3 linked regions of the Xenopus tropicalis genome follow. The protein of the gene in region 3 purifies or fractionates together with the protein of the main gene of each other region. This does not show direct contact. Links are inferred from orthologs where the notes say so. Each region holds a gene or a part of one and is shown on either strand. Other genes may lie near its edges.

Region 1 (3,657 bases), on a different chromosome or scaffold from region 3:
CAAATTTAATGTCAGCCCAGGAAAGCAGCCACCTCTGATTTTAATAATAAATGGTCTAGGGGGGTTAAAGTTTCAGTACTTCAGTAAAGATAGTCATGGACTGTAGGCACAGACATGTTCCTTGTAAATGCTGGAAAGTGCAACTAATCATCATTGCCTGGCAGATATCTCTGGCATCTCTAGACATGTGGCACATCTAGACCTGGACACTAGGAAACTCATGTGGATTGTCCCTGTCTAAGAACTGGCTTTCTATCATTACTAAAAACCTCACATGTAAAGCCATCTGTAGCCAGCGATTGTCTTTGCCAATTAATGTGGTCTGGCTAGTTGGCCACAAGGCATGCAATATCTAGCTGGCATTAGAAACATCGTCATGTGCTGCTCAGGCTCTATAAACCTAAAAGGGACATGTTACAGATAAGCTGTGATTGCTGTATATTGTACCATTGCGTGTGAAACATTGCTTATGTGCAATGGCACAATAAATAACGGCATGTTTGTAGAAGGCTGGGCCCCCTTATTTATAGAAACTGGTTGCATTTTGATGTGGCCTTACATCTGGGGGTTGCAGCACTGGACTAAGATAATTGGCACAAAAATGCTGGGAATGCTCCTGCCAAACTGTTTTCATTATGTGCTGCAAGGGAGCTAAGCAGAAGCGACTGAATAGGCTATACACATGGACAGTTTTGGGCCACAAACACAATACACACTTCTGGCTGTAAAATTTGCTGCATCTGCAAATTCTAATGTCAGGACAACTAGTGTCTCTGTGGCAATTGTGTCTTTCAGAAAAATGACCCTGCTGTTTTCCTAATAATTTTTATTCTTAAAGGGGAACTCCACCCAAACACAACTTAAGCTTTTTGAAAAGAAAAAATAATTTTAAGCAACTTAAGCAATATACATCAATGAATGCAGCCTTTTCATAACTTTTAAAATAATAATATGGATTGGAAAAGTTACCTAAGCCTCGCCCTGCTGTTCCCCTGATGATCTGGCTAACTACTTGGGGACTCAAATAAAATTGCAACAATAGTCAACTGTCCTCAGCCTGCATCCTCAAAACCCCACACATCCTGCAATGCATTGTGGGTTATACAATTCCTGCATGCTGCCTGTAAGGCAGGGGGCTCAAACTCAATTTACCTGGGGGCCGCAGGAGGCAAAGTCAGGATGAGGCTGGGCCGCATAAGGGATTTCACAAAAAATTGGCTTTCAAGGGATAATGCAAGGCACGGCGGGAGCTGCCGATTGTGGAAATGACGTTATGCCATCATAACAGTTATTATGGGAAGACGTTCTGTGTGCACAATTAGCTCCTTAGCAGCTAATTGTGCACACAGAATGTCTTCCCATAATAACTGTTATGATGGAATAACGTCATTTCCGCAATCAGCAGCTCCCACCCACCGTGCCTTGCATTATCCCTTGAATCGCAATCCATTCATTGCTTTTGAGAAGGCGTTGGTGCGGGCCACAAAATACTGTACCGAGGGCCGCAAATGGCCCGCGGGCCGCGAGTTTGAGACCCCTGCTGTAAGGTGTGGAGAAGTTGTTATACTTCAGACTGGATTTTATCTAAAGGCATGATAAATGTCCACTTTATCTATCCAACAAATGTGATTTGTGTAATGATTTTGTTAGGATGTGACTATCATGTAATGAGCATCCTGCTTAAGAAATAATGTTCTAGGAAACATTAACCATTAAGTGATTATTAAGCTGCAGAATGAATGGCCATGTAAGTAGTGGTTGGTTATTTTCCTTCCAGTTTTGTTTGTTTTTTCTTTCTAAGATCTTAATTTTATCTGGCCTATTGTTTTTGGCTAAGCTAGGTTTATTGTGCTGTGTTTCAGGCAATACAAGAGGTTGTGTTCTCTGCTCAGAGATACTCGTCATGACTGCATTTTGTTTTCCAATGAGTTCCAGAACCATGCCTATCTTCCTAGAGAAATGGGGGAATCTGCTTTGGCCTGGCAAACAAGGTACTTCAGTTTGTCTGTAACGCTGCCACCTTATAGAATCAAAGCCTGACCTAACTGCACCATTCTTAATGGGATGGTTGATGTTTGAATGTCCTTGCAATTGGTCTTCATGATTTATTCTTTGTAGTTTTTTAATTATTTGCCTTCCTCTTCCCCTCCAGCCCAAATGGGGGTCACTAACTCTAGCAGCCAAAAACGATTGCTCTGTGAGGCTACAATTGTATTGTTATTATAACCTTTTATAACTTATTATTCTATTTCAGATTATCTTCTATGCTTATTTCAATCTCTTATTCAAACCACTGTCTAGTTGCTAGGGAAAATAAGACCCTAGTAACCAGATAGCCACTGAAGTACTTAACTGGAGAGCTGCTGATCAAAAGACTAAATAACTGAAAAATCATAAAAAATAAAAGATGAAGACCAGTTACAAACTGTCTCAGAATATCACTATCTACATCATACTAAAAGTTAATTTAAAGGTGAACAACCTCTTTAATGCTATTACTTAGGTGCATCTACAATTCTTGTGTATGGTACTATCAACACTGTCAGAAGAAAATCCCTGTTGTGATGGTCACAGAAGATAAGTCTGTCATAAGGCAGTACAACACCGAGACCCAAGAGGTGTACGTGGTCTCATTCCAGGTCAGTGTGAGGGATTTTGTATTAATCCAAAAGGCAGGAAGAAGTGCTAAGGGACAAACTGAGAACATGTTTGCTATCAAAATAAAAATTCTAACAGCTTTCCCCGCAAATTTGTCTCTCTTTAAATAATATATAAAAACATTTTATATAAAATAATAATAGTCGGGTATATGTCACAAGGAATAGAAAAATCATCCCAAGCTAAAGAATTGCGCTTGGATAAATAATGCATTTTATAGTACAATATTATATACAACAGTGCTGTCTAACTGAAGGCCTGGAAGCCAAGTACAGTCCTCCAAAAGGTTTTGTTTTGTTTTTTTTAAAAAAAAAGCTCTATAGATTTCTTTGTATGACATTTATTATTTAAATATTTGATATCAAATATGCGGGCCACTTATATGGACAGCAATATTTAACAATATGATTTTGATTCATCAATTTATGGATATGAAAAAAAAAAAAAGGAACATTTGTAGGAATACGGGAGAGTTAGCATGATAAAGTGCTGCAGGGTAAGTGCTTTAATGCATTTTATACAGATTTACCTGGAGACTTTCTGGCCCAATTTAAAAGGAGCCCTGGAGCTGTATAAATCTCTAAAAGAAACCCATCGAGAGCGCGAGCTAGAGAGCCGGGAGGGTAACGGCAAAGAATACCCGGAGCACCTGCCACTGGAAATTCTCGAGGCTGGAATTAAATCTGGCAGATACCAACAGGTGGGTGTTCTCCAATAATACTACAGGCCATGTGGGAACATATAGGCTGCAATGGAACTCATATCTACCACTTTCTGCCTTCTCCAGGGTGTTCTCAGTGTAAACAAGCACAGAGCTCAGTTGGAAGGTTTTGTACGACTTCAGGGCTTAGGAGGAAAAGAAACAGGTATTACAGGCACCTTTTAAGGCTTATAGCTCTGTTAACTCAGTAATGTTCTGTTACAGTTTGCTTTGTGAAAGGCATTTCTCCTATGAGACTCAAAAAATTTTGAGACAGCCAGGGAAACCATTTGTATATG
Region 2 (3,657 bases), on a different chromosome or scaffold from region 3:
GATCTCAATATCTTAAGTCTACTAAAAGATCATTTAAACCAATAGGATGGTTTTACCTCCAATAAGGCTAAACTACATCTTAGCTGGAATGAAGTAAAATGTACTGTTTTATTACAGAAAAGGGGAATGGGTTTTAAAATTCTGACAAAGTTAATTAAATGGAGTCTATGGGATATAGCTTCCTGTAATTTGGAAATAATTTGGAGATTACAGGTTTCCAGATAACAGATCTCATACCTGTAATACAGGTATTGGACCCTTTATCCGGAAACCCATTATCCAGAAAGTTCCAAATTACGGAAAGGCCATCTCCCATAGACTCCATTATAAGCAAATTATTCTAATTTTTATAAATGATTTCCTTTTTCTCTGTAATAATAAAACAGTAACTTGTACTTGATCCCAACTAAGATATAATTAATCCTTATTGGAGCCCAAACAATCCTATTGGATTTAATTACTTTTTAAATTATTTTTTTATTAGACTTATGGTAGGAGATCCAAATTACGGAAAGACCCCTTATCCGGAACACCCCAGGTCCCGAGCAAATTTATACCAATGACACATTTACATCTGAAGTGCAACAGCAGATTAAACCTGAGATGCCACAGGACCCATGCTCAGATACAATGACTGCCAACGGAAAAGGCAAAAACAGCTTATTTAAAAAAAAAAAAAAAAAAATGGATTTTCTACATACACATCGGAAATAAAAACTAAGAAATGTGCATATTATTCCCATTGCACGTTGCTTTATCAAGGTCCTACCAAAGTTGTTAGGGAAGCCAGAAAATACAGGCTGAGTGTAAGAATTCTGTTGTTTCTTTCAAAAAGTAACTGGGCTTTAAGCAAAGTCAATGTAGTACATTTCTTTACACCTCTTACCGAATTATGGAACTCATAGCTGGTCCAGTAATCTGATGTGCTAAAAGGAATGAGATGCCTTGTAGGAACAGTCATCAGACATCTGTTAACTAAATCCGAAAAATGTTTAGCTTCTTGAACCTTATTTTTGGCTTCCATAATTTTTCTGTTAGTAAAAATAAGATAACTGAAAAGAAAAGATATCCATTAAATCTCATGGCATATTTGCACACAGACACTTGCCTTTTATTATAAAAATTGGTAGCTATATGAAATACTTACTCCATCCAAAGATTCTGGAGCACCTCCTGTTGCATTACAGCTCCCAGTGCTGCCTCATAAGCCTCTATAGTCTCTGCAGTGCTCGAGTGAACAGACTGCCATAAACTGTATATAAGAAGTGTTCAATAGTAAATGTCTACTAGATAAAACCTGTGCTTTTGTTTAAACTTGTTATTGTATATGGCAGTTTTGGCTGAATGTCTGGATGCCATCCACTGCTAAAACTGTAGGAATGTTAAATGTAATTTTGCCCAGCAATTGAAACAATGCTCAGTTAACAAGCATACATTCTTAACATTATAAATGAAAAACCACTCACCAAAATACAAGCCAGATGTATGGAATTTGCAGTGCTGAACCATTAAAAGATGCCTTTACTACTGGAGCTTTGAAATTTAGAGGAAGTGAAAAATTTAGGAGGTACCTGAGGAGAGAAACACAAAAGTAAGAAAAGTGAATGTTCAGAAATTTTAGGGCAGTCTTTGGGTTGTTTTTAAAATCTGGGCTTTAGGAGACTGCCCTTTTTGTCCCTTCTTTTATTTGCAGTAGATATATCTGTATTTCTAATGGCCTACAGCAGTCTGAATGATAACTGGACAGCATGCAATAATTCTGTATGAAATTACCATTATTATTTTTTTTTTTAACCAACAGATGTCTTTTAACTTTATCCAAATAGGCCACCGTATAGATGGTGCAATAGGTTACAAACTGCAACCTTCCACTGCCACTAATGCTTTACCTCATTAGTGCTCTAATGGCAAAATAACTGTAGATTCACATTTAGGTCATATTAAATACCGGGTAACTTATACATCCAAGATATACATTTCATTAGAAAGAGAAATTTGGAGGTAGTTGCATTTCAAGAAATTATTTGGGGAGGTCTGTAATATGTCCACTCTGAGCCACAAGTGAACTGTGTATAAGAGAATATATAATGTACCTCAGGAGGTATGTAGGGTTATGTTCCTCATCAAAGGTATCAAAGAATGACAAAACAAAATCTTTCATGATGGAGGGCATATGTTGTAGGTGATTCTGCAAAAGTAATACATATGCATTTAAAATATCAGTTGCAAAATGAATTATATATTTCAAACAATATGTTTAGCACTTCAGCCACAATGCTGCTGTTATGTGCTTGATTCTAACCAGGGCATTAACTGCTATTACTATTCAGCACTCTATAAAGAGCTACATATGTCAGCAAATAGAATATAGTAATCATTACCAAATATTTTAACTTTATATCTGACGTACTTACATGTGAAACTAGGAACTTGCAGGTATAGTAGAAAACCTTAGGATTCTGTTTGTTATTTTTGAATGCAGTGATCCAAACATCCATAGCTTTCTCAACTTGTGCCATCTTCAAGTACACAGTGCATAAAGCTTCCAATATGTCAGTGTTACCCATAGAAGACTGCAGAAGCTGCATACATAGCTCAACTGCTTCATCATGCCTTAACAGAGGAAACACAAGTCAGTTTATTACATTTATTTTTTAACTGCCTTTACTTGGCGGGCTCTAGCATATCACCAGGAGTATAGAACATGGATTTATAACATACAATTTCAAAAGCATTGGAAAAGTGAACATCATAAGGATGATCATTATATAATAAAACAGACAATAAAACATAGCACACTTGTGACTCCAGCACACAAAAGGCTGCTTGTTTCTATAGGAAAATCAACCAGTGGGGAGGAGATGTCTGTATCTGAGCAAAAAGGATAAATTGAAAAGCTCCCCCTGTATAATTTCGTTTGATCTTTACTTTGGGTCATCCCTACCACTTTTAGAAATAACCTTTTACTATTTATTATTTACCACTGCACAAGCCCTGGCAGAAGAAAAAAAAAAAAAAAAAAAAAAGTAACAGATGATACATCTTTGGTGGGGACCTTTAACAACTTAGCATGTTTTACGATACAATCTGCTTCTCTCGGGACATTGTTGCTTTGCATTCCCCAGATTATTACACCCTCTAGTAGGTACGGTTCTTCACCAAGTACTCTGTTTGGCAGGGAAAATAGCACTAGCCCTTGCAGGTCACTTTGGTAAACAATCAATCTCAACATAAGCTGAGGAAAAGAGAGAAGCCCTATTTTCCAGTAAAAGTTAGAAGCAATTATGTTGCATGTTACAAATGCAAACAAGTTTAAAGCTTAAGCAGAAGAGGGGATTATGCGATACTTACAATTAAATCCTTTTCTCATTATTAGCCTGTGGGGCACAAGAACTGTGGGGTGTAGTAGGCACCACCACAGTCCCTGTGTCTCACAGATGTCCGGAAAAGCAAAGGCAATTTTGCGATACCGTTAAATCCTTTAATCTTCCTTGGTCTGTGGGAACCAGGGGCCGTGGGGTATAACATCCACCACCATGGTCACTGTGCCCCACAGAACGAAAATAAATTAGTTCTGCCAGTGCAGATCCTTTGCATATGCAGGGTAAACCGGTTAAACACACATATATAACCAACATAAAACAAAGGATTTAAAAA
Region 3 (3,757 bases):
TGTTTTCTAAAAACATTTTACACTGCACCATGAAAAAAAAGTTAGAACACCTTGAAAATATATATTCTTTCCCGTATGCAAAAACACAGAGAATCCAATACAGTGTAAGCAATAACTGTGGTACAGTACAGAACTAGGAATATTACTAGAATGTTGCTTCTATAATACTCCAACCTATAATATTCCAGTCCCAGAACTGCTGATCAAAAGCACAGGCAATTTTATACAAATACTTATATATAGATATGTACAGGGCTGTGTATACAAGTAGCACTATACAAATATATACCTGGAAATATGTGTGTGCATTTTGGGAGTATGTATACAAACATATTCTTCCTATTTATATAGCTGAAACAATGTTGTCACCAGCTGGTTTATGGACAGACAATCAACCAACCTGTTATTTAAGGCTAAAGCATATAAATGTATATACTATATAAGCTGTAAATTCAAATGTAAATTTGACTCCTTACAAATCTAGTCAGCAATATCACATATTTTTACATAATTCTGAACTGTAACTATAACCCACGTTTATTATAGCATATAACTTTTAAAACACATCTCCCAATTCAAACAGTTCTTGTAGTTCCCATGTATATACGTCAGACAGGCATACTAGTATTTTAGATGCGATGTACCTTATGGTACAAGATGTGTATACTTCTCAGTATACAAGACCAGGGTCTCGCATTTAGAAATAAAACATTTAAACTCCCCTTCCATCTGATTATCGTCTGTTTCACTCACACCAACGCGACCCCTGTACTCCTCTCACCTGTCTCCCACCGGCGCCTCTCCACCCTCCTGCCACAGTCCGGACCCTTAGAAGTGCCCTCAGCGCCGCCATCTTGCTTCGGAATGCTATCCCACTGCCTACATTTCTCTTAGGACCCCTATTCAACAGCTTGTCAAAAATAACCTCTGAAGTGAGAAATTGCGAGAATTGCGTATTTCCTATTATTCCCTGGGAAAAAAGGCTTTGGCATTGTTGTGTATAATTATACAGGCAAGTGTGGCGGTTGCCAGACCCCAAGGACCCCGGAAGTGTTTGCACATGTGGAAAGAAGGTTCTGATGGAGGCTGTAGGTTCTGTATTGCGGGAATACGGGTGTGAGCAGAGTTTGCTGAGCCGTCCCGATGGATCCGCTACGTTTCTTCAGGGTTAGTTTTGGCGCGCCTATAATTCCTCAAATCTTATGTGGAATACGAGGATATCAAGGGATACATATTGAAGGGAAGCGTAAAATGTTTTGCGGCTAAATCATTGGATGGAAATTGAATTGTAAATCCAGTGGCCGTTATTCTCATTTAATGGAACAGCTCTTCCATGTTGTCATAATGCAGAGGACAGCAATGGGGAATGTATGTGTTGTATTTGTCTAAAGTAGGTGGTTGCTGAACTGCAAACTTGTAAATTAAGCAATTTTCCAATATAGGATAATAAAAAATGTTCATGATTTTAAAATTGATACAATTGTTACTGAGAAAAAAGTTTCAGCCTGTTTATTGCAACTCTCTCCTGGTTTCCCCAGCTACTCTTAAAGGAACAGTAACATCAAAAAATGAAAGTGTTTTAAAGTAATTAAAATATAATGTGCTGTTGCTCTGCAAAAAACTGGTGTTTTTGCTACAGAAAAGCTACAATATAAATAAGCTGCTGTGTAGCCACGGGGGCAGCCATTCAAGCTGGAAAAAAGGAGAAAAGGCACAGGTTACGTAGCCGATAACTAGTAGATAAGCCCCATATAATGGGGGTTTATCTGTTATCTGTTAAGTAACCTGTGCCTTTTCTCCTTTGAATGGCTGCCCCCATAGCTACACAGCAGCTAACTTATATAAACTATAGTAGTCTTTCTGAGGCAAACACACCAGTTGTAGCAATATAGGGCAACAGTACATTATATTGTAATTACTTTTATACACTTTCATTTTTTGGTGTTACTGTTCCTTTAACTACTCCAAATCTCACAATGCCTTGCTTGTTCTGCCATTATCAGCTGCAAAGTAAAATAAAAGAATAGTACAAGGCAAATTTGTAGGAACTGAGGTGGTGGTGAGGAGAGACATTTTTTATTTAATTATTTCTATAGTCTGGTAGCAAATAATAGCAAAGGCAGACAAACTGCTCTTGGAATTTTATTTAGAAATTACTTAAAAAAAAACATTTAACATGTTTAATTCCTGCATATTATAACACTGCTTAAAATTACAATTCATTTGTACAAATACATATATATTTATTTAGGAAAAGGTCCTTTAAAATATTGGACACCAAATTGAATTGGGGACAGACTGACCATACTCTTACTCTAGAGCTATAAACGGTCATGTACAGCACTGTGATTATGATACCTGTGTGTACGCATTTAAATAAACCAAAATATAGGGAATATACACCATATTAAAAAATATAAGGGTATTGGAAGTCTCCTTAGAGTGCCATGACCATATACAGGCACAGAACCAAAGGCCAAGTGGTTTAATACAGGTCATTGAACTCTGAGGTGGCTTCTAATATCCACATATTTTACAACAGAGGAGGTTTTAGTCAGTAAATTATACAAATTACATCACTGATCAATGTTGGTAAAGAAAATCTTGTGTATTATAGCTATAGGGGCTTGTAGTTTTGGGCTCCTAGGCTCTGCACCATATTCAATTTTAGAATAAAGATTAGAAATGAGTTTCAACAAAAAATGTGAGCTATCCTTACAAAGTAGCAATCCAGTACCATGTTTAGGTGGTTTATAGCATTTTGACCAGTTAATAATTTTTAATGCAGTATAATTTTTAATGCAGTTCTCCAGTCACACAAAAATAGATTAATTCGGAAAAAAGAAACTAAAGGGTGTAAGCACATTGACCTAGATATCAAGCAGGTATATCATGGTGGCTTAGAATTCACACCAAACTCTCTGCAACTCTGTTCTACCAAGCTGCATTGATCAAGACCTATCACTTTATCCACCTTGTGTACAGTTTTACTCACCACCTTTTTATACCTATCACCATTTGAAAACTCGAAAGAGGGACACAATTAACTGCCATGCTCCTCCCGCCATTTGAAAACTACAAAGAGGGACACAGTTAACTGCCATGGTATGACTGCACCCACATTTTACCACACCCAAAATACCATGATCATAAAATTAAAACTAAAACCAAAAAAAAAAATCCAGACATGCCAGTAAAATCACTGCATAAATAACCAGAGAAGCCTCCATTAACTAAAGACATGACCATAAGATCACTGCATAAAATGGGTAGATTGAATGCATTGCCTCACTTAAGTTGCACAAGCAGCAAATCACAAACTTGTTCTTTTCTAGTACCCCCATGGTGCTTGTCATTTTGCCTTTGCCTGAAAAGGCAATTTTTCCATTTCCACAGTGGAACTTACGGCCATCTGTGATTATGATTGGCTGTGTTTGAGCCCCTGCTGAGATTGCTTTAAAGAAGAAAGAAAGGTAAAAACTCATAATTCAGGTTCGTTTATATATCACACAGGCAGTAATCTGGCTACTGTAGTTTTATGTGACTAAAGCTGACATACATGCACCGATGCACCTAGTTTCATACGATATTCACTGTGTGTATGGTGGATCGACGAGGTGAACATCACAAAAGCTTCGGATATGTCGCCTCGTGGAACGGGCGGGACAGAAGACTTTTATACGAGCAAAATCTGTGTTTAGGGCTTAATTGTCAGGTGGAGGTAGAATCCTTATTGTTTCTACCTCCATATCTGACA

The links. Proteins that work in one complex are often made in the same cells at the same time.
Region 1: the proteins of exosc5 (region 3) and dis3l purify together in Homo sapiens (affinity purification with mass spectrometry; 5 studies listed by BioGRID and IntAct, with this or other methods). This does not show direct contact. The link is inferred for Xenopus tropicalis from reciprocal best matches to the Homo sapiens genes EXOSC5 and DIS3L.
Region 2: the proteins of exosc5 (region 3) and zfc3h1 purify together in Homo sapiens (affinity purification with mass spectrometry; 3 studies listed by BioGRID and IntAct, with this or other methods). This does not show direct contact. The link is inferred for Xenopus tropicalis from reciprocal best matches to the Homo sapiens genes EXOSC5 and ZFC3H1.

The regions. Positions count from the first base shown.
Region 1 is NC_030679.2:117,114,273-117,117,929, forward strand, and holds part of dis3l (DIS3-like exonuclease 1), read left to right. Parts: intron 1-1,862; coding exon 1,863-1,991; intron 1,992-2,503; coding exon 2,504-2,639; intron 2,640-3,181; coding exon 3,182-3,358; intron 3,359-3,445; coding exon 3,446-3,524; intron 3,525-3,657. UniProt on the Homo sapiens protein: Catalytic component of the RNA exosome complex which has 3'->5' exoribonuclease activity and participates in a multitude of cellular RNA processing and degradation events.
Region 2 is NC_030679.2:59,906,529-59,910,185, forward strand, and holds part of zfc3h1 (zinc finger C3H1 domain-containing protein), read right to left. Parts: intron 2,614-3,657; coding exon 2,415-2,613; intron 2,189-2,414; coding exon 2,094-2,188; intron 1,572-2,093; coding exon 1,467-1,571; intron 1,253-1,466; coding exon 1,148-1,252; intron 1,053-1,147; coding exon 887-1,052; intron 1-886. UniProt on the Homo sapiens protein: Subunit of the trimeric poly(A) tail exosome targeting (PAXT) complex, a complex that directs a subset of long and polyadenylated poly(A) RNAs for exosomal degradation. The RNA exosome is fundamental for the degradation of RNA in eukaryotic nuclei.
Region 3 is NC_030684.2:79,502,300-79,506,056, reverse strand, and holds the start of exosc5 (exosome complex component RRP46), read left to right. Parts: upstream 1-1,049; 5' UTR 1,050-1,079; coding exon 1,080-1,167; intron 1,168-3,757. Other genes in the region: bckdha (2-oxoisovalerate dehydrogenase subunit alpha, mitochondrial), read right to left, coding at 782-853. UniProt on the Homo sapiens protein: Non-catalytic component of the RNA exosome complex which has 3'->5' exoribonuclease activity and participates in a multitude of cellular RNA processing and degradation events.